Linked DNA regions of Macaca fascicularis. The protein of the gene in region 1 interacts with the protein of each later gene in a biochemical or structural test. Links are inferred from orthologs where the notes say so. Each region holds a gene or a part of one and is shown in the gene's direction. Other genes may lie near its edges.

Region 1 (4,562 bases):
GCCTTCTGTAACAGTTTCTGCTAAATTGTCACAGTTCTGCCACTTAAAAAAAGCTAGATGATCTCAGCCTATCACCAAAGCTCTTGGAGCTCAGGTTCTCTGTCTGTAAAAGCTACATAAAATGTAATTTATCTGCTTGTTATGACTAAATAACATAGTACATTAGTCCTTTGCGAAAGTACTAACAAATTACCATATAAAAGTGTAGAATCATGTCAAATGTTATAAGAAATGCAACTGTCCAAAAATAATTATCTCACATTGGTCTGGTAATGAGACCTAAAATATCGCATTTTATTTACCTATTTGACTCAAAGCACCAGGTCTCAAAGAGGTCACTGTTATACTATAAATATGTCATATGAAATAATATATTAAATAATTGTTGTAATAGCCTATTGAAGTACTAGTTGTAATAAGACACAATGGAAAACTTACACTATTAACAGTAATAAAAAGAAACAACAAAAAGCAATAAAAAACAAACCACCGATTCATGCAATGACATGAATCACCTCACAAATACTATGCTGAGTAAAAGAAGTCAGACAGATATAAAAAAGTTTATACTACGTGATTAGATTTTTATGACATTCTAGAATATGCACATGAAGGGTGCAAGGTAACTGTCTGGAGTGATGAAAATGTCCTGTGTCTTCAAAATAGTGTGGGTTACACCAATGCATGGTTTTTTCAAAACTGATTTAAAGGGACACAACATCTGAGCATTTCACTAGGTGTAAATTACACTGAAATTTAAAAGAATCGTCTAATGACATTGTGGTTATTTTTAAACAGTTCTTAAATTTTGTGGATGCATACTGAATGTTTACAGTTGAAAAGATGTATATAAAGCTTGAATTTTGTGAAAAAAAATAGGGAGGATTGGTAGTGATAAAGTGAGTGGACTTATGAATGAGACATGATATGCCATGCATAGAAAAAATGTAAAAGTTGGGTGATATTCACATGGGAGTACTTTATTCTTTCTACTTTTGCGTATGTTTGAATATTTCCCATAACAAAAAGTTGAATATAGGGCGATCACCTGAGTTCATCTCCTCATTTACAAAAAATAAAACTGGAAACAGAAGGAGAACATAACTTGTTCAAGGTCTCCAAGCCAGACAACAAACTAGCTCCCAAGTCCAACCTTCTTGCTCTGGTCCTAAGCAAACACAAACTATTAATATGAGCTACTGCGTTATGGAAAGTCTGTTTTTCCAAAGGGCAGACCAATAGTTCAAGGAAGAGTTTAAGTAATAAAAATTTGTAATCTTACTTTCATGTTTTTCTATTTTCCACTGAACACATAGGCATTATCTTCTATATGTCTTTCATGTATAATCATTTGTTTACTATTCCTTGTGGTTTTAAAGTTGTTTTGTATGTTTACATTTGATTTTACTCAAATTTCAGAATCCAAATGAGTGCAAGAATCAGACAAAGCATTAGCTACAAACATAAAAACAATTTTTAAAAAACACAGCAAAAACGAGCTGTTGTCCCCGCCCCCCCCGCCGGCCCCCACCCCCCCCGCCGGCCCCCACCAGTGCTTAACTAATCTTCGGAATCCAGGCACAGAAAGCAAAGGCTTTCTGCTAGTGGGAGGAGCTTGCTTCTCCATTCTGGTGTGATCCAGGAATAGCTGTCTTCCAGTTCTGAAAGAGGTGAAAATGTGTTAAGCGATGCAAAAATTGTCTGGAGGTTCGCGTGTGTACGTCTGTGTGTCTGTGCATGTGGTGGGTCGGGGGAGAGAAAAGGGGATGTCAATTCTGAGGGCAACGAGAATTAGAAGTCAGAAAGGTGAGTGGCGTGTAGCATCTCCCTTTCAGAAGGGGCTGAAAAAGAAATTGGATATGATGGTCTGGTAGGGTAAATCACGCTGGATTTGTCTACCAGACCATGCACTTAGGTCTGCAAAGTAAGTCCCATTTCTAGAGCGAAAAGCCTTAGGACCGCTTGTTTTAGACGGCTGGGGAATATTTATTCCTCGTTCCGCTGATGGGAAAATCAGCGTCTGGCAGGCGCTGATTGGTGGAAAGGAAAATGGTGATAGTGGGGTGGGAAGAGGATTTGCTGAGCCTCCTCCTGCCTCCTCAACCTGTAACTCTTCCTTAGTAGTCTCCGATTCACCCGCGGGACCCTTTCGAGCTCGACCTGGATTAAGAGCAAACGAAAATCTTGAGGATATTTGAACTAAAGCGACCCTTAACGTAGCCTGTGACCGTGATTAAATTCAGCGATGCGAGGGCAAAGTGCTCTCGGCGGTGCGGTGTGAGCCACCTCCCTGCGCTGCCTGTCTCCCCAAAGGATAGGCTCTGCTCTGGGTGGTCGACCCTCAGGCCCTCAGCTCTCCCAGGTCGACTCTGACGAGGGGTAGGGGGTGGTCCCAGGGAGGACCCGGAGGAAAGGCGGGGACAGGAAGGGAGGGGAATGGGAAAGAGGGAGAGTCGTCAGCCCAAGCCCAACCGCTCCCAATCGCCACAAGAGTGCCCGTGACCCTGAACTTGAGGTGAGGCGCAAAAGCGCCCCCACTTTCCCGCCTTGCGCGGCCAGGCAGGCGGCTGGAATTGGTGGTTCACCCTGCGCCCCCTGCCCCATCCCCATCCGAGATAGGAAACGAAGAGCACGCTGCAGGGAAAGCAGCGAGCGCTGGGAGGGGAGCGTGGAGAGGCGCTGACAAATCAGCGGTGGGGGCGGAGAGCCGAGGAGAAGGAGAAGGAGGAGGACGAGGAGGAGGAGGACGGCGACGACCAGAAGGGGCCCGAGAGAGGGGGCGAGCGACCGAGCGCCGCGACGCGGGAGTGAGGTGCGTGCGGGCTGCAGCGCAGACCCCGGCCCGGCCCCTCCGAGAGCGTCCTGAGCGCTCCCTCACGCCTTCCCTTCAAACCTTCTGCCTTTTTCTCCATCCTCGTGAGCGGAGAACTGGGAGTGGCCATTCGACGACAGGTTAGCGGGTTTGCCTCCCACGCCCCCAGCCTCCCGTCGTCGGCTCACAGCGGCCTCCTCTGGGGACCGTCCCCCTCCCGGTGCCGCCTCCGCCCTTCCTGTGCGCTCCTTTTCCTCCTTCTTCCCTATTAAATATTATTTGGGAATTGTTTAATTTTTTTTTTTTTTAAGAGAGGTAGGGAGGAATCGGAGTTGTGGAGAAGCAGAGGGACACAGGTAAGTACCTGTGGATCTAAACGGGCGTCTTTGGAAATCCTGGAGAAAGCCGGGTGGGAGAGGAATGGTCGTGGGCACCAGGAGGGGGTGGTGCTGCGGTGAGGACCTGCTGTGCCAGGTCTCTGGGAGGTGAGTACTTGTCCCTTTGGGGAGCCTAAGGAAAGAGACTTGACCTGGCTTTCGTCCTGTCAAGGGCTTCTCCCCAAGGGCTGAGAGATTAGGATGCGTCTCTGGGATCCGCTTTTCCCCGGGAAACGCGAGGATGCTCCCTGGAGCGTAAGCATCCAACTTTTATTTCTCTCTTACCTGAAATCCGTCTGCCCGCTCTCTTGGTTTTTCTCTGTAAAGTAAGCAAGCTGCCTTTGGCAAATAATGAAATGGAAGTGCAGGGAGGCCAAGTCAACAGGTGGTAAAGGGTTAACAAGTGCTGGCGCGGGGTCCGCTAGGGTGGATGCTGAGAACGCCCCCTCGGGTGGCTGGCGCAGGGTTAGAGACGGCCCGCGAGTGTGAGCGCCGCCTGCTCAGGGTAGATATCTGAGGGCGGGGGTGGATGCTCGGATGTATTAGAACCAGCACCCTTGGGCTCGCTGTTTGCCTGAGGTTGAACCACACCCAGAGTGAGTAGTTAGTTCTCTTGCCTACGCCTCTCCACCATCAACCTGTTAGCCTTCTTCTGGGATTCATGTTAAGGATGCCCCAGACCCTAAGCCTCCAGCTTCCATGCTTCTAACTCACACTGTTACCCTTTAGACCCCGGGAAGTTAAAACAGGAGTGACTCTTTTCATGCAACTCCACTTCTGAAATGCAGTATTAACAACTCAGAGGATTCATCCTAATCCATGGTTAGGTGGCTAGACTTTTACTAGCCAAGATGGATGGGAGATGCTAAATTTTTAATGCCAGAGCTAAAAATGTCTGCTTTGTCCAATGGTTAAATGAGTGTACACTTAAAAGAGTCTCACACTTTGGAGGGTTTCTCATGATTTTTCAGTGTTTTTTGTTTATTTTCCCCCAAAAGTTCTCATTCAAAGTGTATTTTATGTTCTCCAGTGTGGTGTAAAGGAATTCATTAGCCATGGATGTATTCATGAAAGGACTTTCAAAGGCCAAGGAGGGAGTTGTGGCTGCTGCTGAGAAAACCAAACAGGGTGTGGCAGAAGCAGCAGGAAAGACAAAAGAGGGTGTTCTCTATGTAGGTAGGTAAACCCCAAATGTCACTTTGGTGTTGGTTCATGACTGATGGGTTAGGATAATCAATACTCTAAATGCTGGTAGTTCTCTCTCTTGATTCATTTTTGCATCATTGCTTGTCAAAAGGGTGGACTGAGTCAGAGGTATATGTAGGTAGGTGAATGTGAATGTGTGTATTTGAGCTAATAGTAAAAAATGCGGC
Region 2 (4,758 bases), on another chromosome or scaffold:
ACCATGTTGGCCAGAATGGTCTCGAACTCCTGACCTCAGGTGATCCACTCGCCTCTGGCCTCCCAAAGTGCTGGGATTACAGGTGTGAGTCACTGCACCCGGCTGCGTTTTAGACCAGAATTTAACAGCAGATTTTAACTTAGTCAAAACATGCTTTAGAGTCACCAAAGGCGAACGATGTCTAATAGTGGTGATTTGGGAGTTGGGCACCCTGGGTGTTGGTTGTGCCTTAAAACTTCATGCTAAACTTTAGGGGAAGTCTCTTCCCCTCTCTCTTCAGTTATCTTCCGAGATGAACCCTATTACTAACCTTAATTACTTGATCACCTTTCAAAGTTGCAGTTAAAATTCTTCACATTTTTCTCTCATTTCTATTTAATTATTTTTTTGAGAGAGGGTCTCTCTGTTGCCCAGGCTGGAGTGCAGTAGCGTGATCTAGTCTCACCGCAACCTCCGCTTCCGAGTAGCTGGGGTTACAAGTGTACGTCATCACACCCAGCTAATTTTTGTATTTTTAGTAGATACGGGGTTTCGCCATGTTGGCCAGGCTGGTCTCGAACAACTGACCTCAAGTCATCTGCCCGCCCCGGCCTCCCAAAGTGGTGGGATTACAGGCGTGAGCCACTGCGCCCAGCCCTCATTTCTATTTTAATTAAATTTTATTTAAGATAGGCTTAGCTTAAATGTTTACGACTGAGGTCTGACTTAAGATGATAGCATAAACCATGGAGCTTTCTTTTGTGAACATTACTATTACTCAACCCAATTTTCCCAGGTCAAATTTTGTAATACAAAACGTGGTCAAGATTTGATTCTCTGATCGATTTTTAGTAAAAAAGAAAAAAATTTCCGTGTAGCTTTAAATGTTGTCAATTAAATTTTGTAATAGTTACCTCTACTCTGTTCAGGTTAATACTGCGGTTTTCAACATGACCAACATACGATTCTTTGTTGTTGTTTTGGTGGGGTTGGGGGGCATAACAGTTTTTTCACTCTTGTTAAATTAATTTTCTGTTGATTCCATCTATCCCTAATCTTCACTATGAACAAGATACTGGGTTTTCTTCTGAAGATCAAAAGTGGTAGTGAGGCAATAATGCAAAGACGTAGGACGGCAGGGGGATTCCGGCTTCTTTCTTTTTTCCCCTCCTGTGGAAAGAGGGTCTATAACACTCCGTAGTAGAGAAGAAAATTCTAATTATGAAGGGTAATTAGCTAGGTTTTGCTATAACCGAGAGCCCTGAACGATTCCTCAACGCGGGCTGCTTTTCTCTTCCTCTCCACCAGAGGCGATAGCCTCTTTCCAAACAGAAACTGGGTTGGAATAGGCCGGTCCTGGGGAGCGGCCAGAAGAAAGATCAAAGGTTAAAAACCGCCTCAAAGAGCAAAGGTCAATACCCAACTCCTAAGGAGGCCTGACACGAAACATGAAGGTGACTCCTCCCAACATCGAGGCCTGGGGCCACTCAGCCTTCCAGAGACCCTGCGGGTCCGAGGCGAGTAACAGGTAACACCGGCTGAGCCGCCGCCGACCGGAAGTGGAAGAAAGCCCGGGGCGGGGTGAGGCAGGCCGCGGCACGCCTGCGCAGTCAGCAGGAGTTGCAGCGCTCATGCGCTACTGGGCGGTGACAGGGTGACGCTCGGAGCGTGGGCCGCGACTCTCACGGATCCGGTTCCGCCCTCTAGCTGCCGATCCTTCGGAGCGAGCGCCCCAGATCCCTTTCCCAGAGTGCTCTGCGCCGTGAAGAAGCGGCTCCCGGGGACTGGGGGCATTTTGTGTTGGCTGGAGCTGGAGTAACAAGATGGCGGCGTCGGCGGAGTGACAGGGGTCCCTCAGGGCCGGAGCCGGCGGCAGTGGTGGTAGCTGTATCGCCGCCCTAGCTCACCGCGCCCCTTTTCCAGCCCGCGACGTCGCCGCGCAAGCGAGGCAGCGGCGGCCGCCGAGAAACAAGTGGCCCAGCCTGGTAACCGCGAGAAGCCCTTCACAAACTGCGGCCTGGCAAAAAGAAACCTGACTGAGCGGCGGTGATCAGGTTCCCCTCGGCTGATTCTGGGCCCCGAACGCCGGTAAAGGCCTCCGTGTTCTGTTTCCTGCCGCCTTCCTCCGTAGCCTTGCCCAGTGTAGGAGCCCCAGAGGCCTCCGTCGTCTTCCCAGAGGTGTCGGGGCTTGGCCCCAGACTCCATCTTCGTCTCTCAGGATGGCGAGTAGCAGCGGCTCTAAGGCCGAATTCATTGTCGGAGGGAAATATAAACTGGTACGGAAGATCGGGTCTGGCTCCTTCGGGGACATCTATCTGGCGATCAACATCACCAACGGCGAGGTAATCACCTGGGGTGGGGTTCACGATAACGCTGCGCTTTTCCTCATTCCCCCCACCACCACCGCGCACCCCCAAAGTGCTCGGGCCTCTCCTCACCGCACGCACTCGCCAGGGAGTCCAGGGAGCTAGTTTTCCTGGCTTGCGATCCTCGCCCGCTCTCTCCCTAAAAGGGTCAAGAACCCGATAGAAAAGGGTGGGGGAACTAGTTTCCCAGCTTGTTAAACACTTCCCATAAATGTCCCTTGGTCGAGCTGTTTTTTTTTTAACCGACTTTTAAGGTGGAAACGGCAAAATCCTCTTTCTGTGATTCCCATGCTTTGCTTTTCTTTTCTTTTATTTAATTTTTAATCCTGCTGGGCCTCTTGTTCCAATTAGAACAGTTTCCGATCGCCTAGTTCCTTAAAAACCTCTCACTACGTTCAGAGGTTGCCTCTTTTTTCTGGATGAATCATTTTCCTGCACTTTAGAGGACGTACGATTTCGTCACTACCCCCTGAAGAGGCCTTTGAGGCTGGTTGCCTCGTTTTATAATTACAGAGAGCTTTCTCTTTCCAGCTTTTCACTTCTTCCTTGTAGTCGCGACTTGGAGTTTTGCTAATGTCTCTCTCCTTTCCTAAATGACACTGAATCCGTAGGGATGTTGATGCCATCATCCCCTCTTTCCCCTGCAGGAAGTGGCAGTGAAGCTAGAATCTCAGAAGGCCAGGCATCCCCAGTTGCTGTACGAGAGCAAGCTCTATAAGATTCTTCAAGGTGGGGTTGGCATCCCCCACATACGGTAAGAACCCCGTGCATGTAGGCGATCCGCTGAGGGAAGCACGGAATGGGGAAGTGGGTAGAGGCAGGTAATGAGACCAGCTGAATCCGGGTCTTGTTTTGGTTACCTGGGTTCCTTGTAGCTGGTGCCTTCCTGTAAGTCATCGCAATCACTGAGTAAATTTCAATTTGCCAACTTATTTCATTGTATTACACTGCTCCATTTCGCTTCCGTCATTCTCTTCCCGAGGCTTTCGTTTGCAGTTATGCGTGCGGGTCATCTTTGATCCCTACGCGGAAGGGTTGGCTGCTGCCTTTTTTACGGCGGCACGTCTGATGTTCTTAGGTTTGTCCAGTGAAGTGGATTTGAAGGTGCTGAAGCGACCCGGCGGTGTCAGTTCGAGTTGCTATTGGAGCTGGCTTGGGAAATGGCTGCTCTTTTGTTGTGTTTTTGTTCCAACATGTCTTCCTCCTCCGCTTAGAAAATGGCGGAACGACGTGACTCAACCCCATATTCCTGCCCTTTTCTCAGCTTGGGTTCACAAATTATGCTTCCTTGATTCCTCCTTTAGCAGCCCCGAGTGGATTAAACCTTTGAAAAGCCAAGAATAAAGCTGCAGGAGGCGGTGTGGGGGTTCGAGGAAGGAGATGGCATAGTGACAATGTTTGTGATCTCTGCAGCAGATGTGACATGAAATTGTTGAATTATACTATGTAAAATCCTTTGTGGTTCTTTTAAAAGTGTTAATTACTCTTTCCTTTCGTGAATGGTCATATTTGGCACATTTCAGTCGGGACTAAATTTGTATAGGTAATGGCAAAGGCAGTTTGAGCAGCACCAACTATGTTAAAATTTACTCAAATCAATTGTATTAAAAGAAATCTTAATCACTTAGCCACACTTTGATAAGTAATTTTAACCTGTTGAGTTTGGCAGTAAATCTTAATATCAGAGAAATTGCGGCCTTTGTTGGTGTGGAATATTGGTGAGTGCAAATTGCAGTAACGCGGATAAAAGATGACGAGATAGAAAGACATTGTTCTGTCAAATGGTTAACTTTACTTTGGAGGGTTTTAGAGTAATGTTTTAACTTTTGGGATTAAAGAGCCTCTTCATGGAATGGAGACTAAAATATAGTTTAAAACCAAGCTATTTTTCAGCAACAATCTAAAATACCTTTTGCAAAAATATTCAGAATAGGTGAGAATGGTGTTTACTGTTTGCTGGAGACTCTCTTTTTTTTTTTTTGAGACTGAGTTTTCGCTCTTGTCGATCAGGCTGGAGTGCAGTGAATGGCACGATCTTGGCTCACTGCAACCTCTGCCTCCTGGGTTCAAGCGATTCTAGTGCCTCAGCCTCCTGAGTAGCTGGGATTACAGGCGCCCGCCACCACACCCAGCTAATTTTTGTATTTTAGTTTCACCATGTTGGCCAGGCTGTACTCGAACCCCTGACCTCAGGTGATCCACCTGCCTCGGCCTCCCCAAGTGCTGGGATTACAGGCATGAGCAACCGTGCCCAGGTTTTTTTCTTTTGAAACGAAGTCTTACTCTGTTGCCCAGGCTGGAGTGCAGTGGCGCAACCTTGGCTAACTGCAGCCTCTGCCTCCCAGGTTCAAGTGATCCTCCTGCTTCAGCCTCCCAAGTAGCTGGAATTACAGGCTTGCACTACTATGCCAGG

Evidence for each region. The genes of interacting proteins can lie anywhere in the genome.
Region 2: of the proteins of SNCA (region 1) and CSNK1A1, one has a biochemical effect on the other in vitro, tested with the Homo sapiens proteins (3 studies listed by BioGRID). The link is inferred for Macaca fascicularis from reciprocal best matches to the Homo sapiens genes SNCA and CSNK1A1.

The regions. Positions count from the first base shown.
Region 1 is NC_088379.1:95,378,173-95,382,734, reverse strand, and holds the start of SNCA (alpha-synuclein), read left to right. Parts: upstream 1-1,617; 5' UTR 1,618-1,806; intron 1,807-2,106; exon of another isoform or gene 2,107-2,515; intron 2,516-2,748; exon of another isoform or gene 2,749-3,168; intron 3,169-3,361; exon of another isoform or gene 3,362-3,444; intron 3,445-3,638; exon of another isoform or gene 3,639-3,785; intron 3,786-4,219; 5' UTR 4,220-4,244; coding exon 4,245-4,365; intron 4,366-4,562. UniProt on the Homo sapiens protein: Neuronal protein that plays several roles in synaptic activity such as regulation of synaptic vesicle trafficking and subsequent neurotransmitter release.
Region 2 is NC_088380.1:156,431,085-156,435,842, reverse strand, and holds the start of CSNK1A1 (casein kinase I), read left to right. Parts: upstream 1-1,726; 5' UTR 1,727-2,198; coding exon 2,199-2,321; intron 2,322-2,992; coding exon 2,993-3,099; intron 3,100-4,758.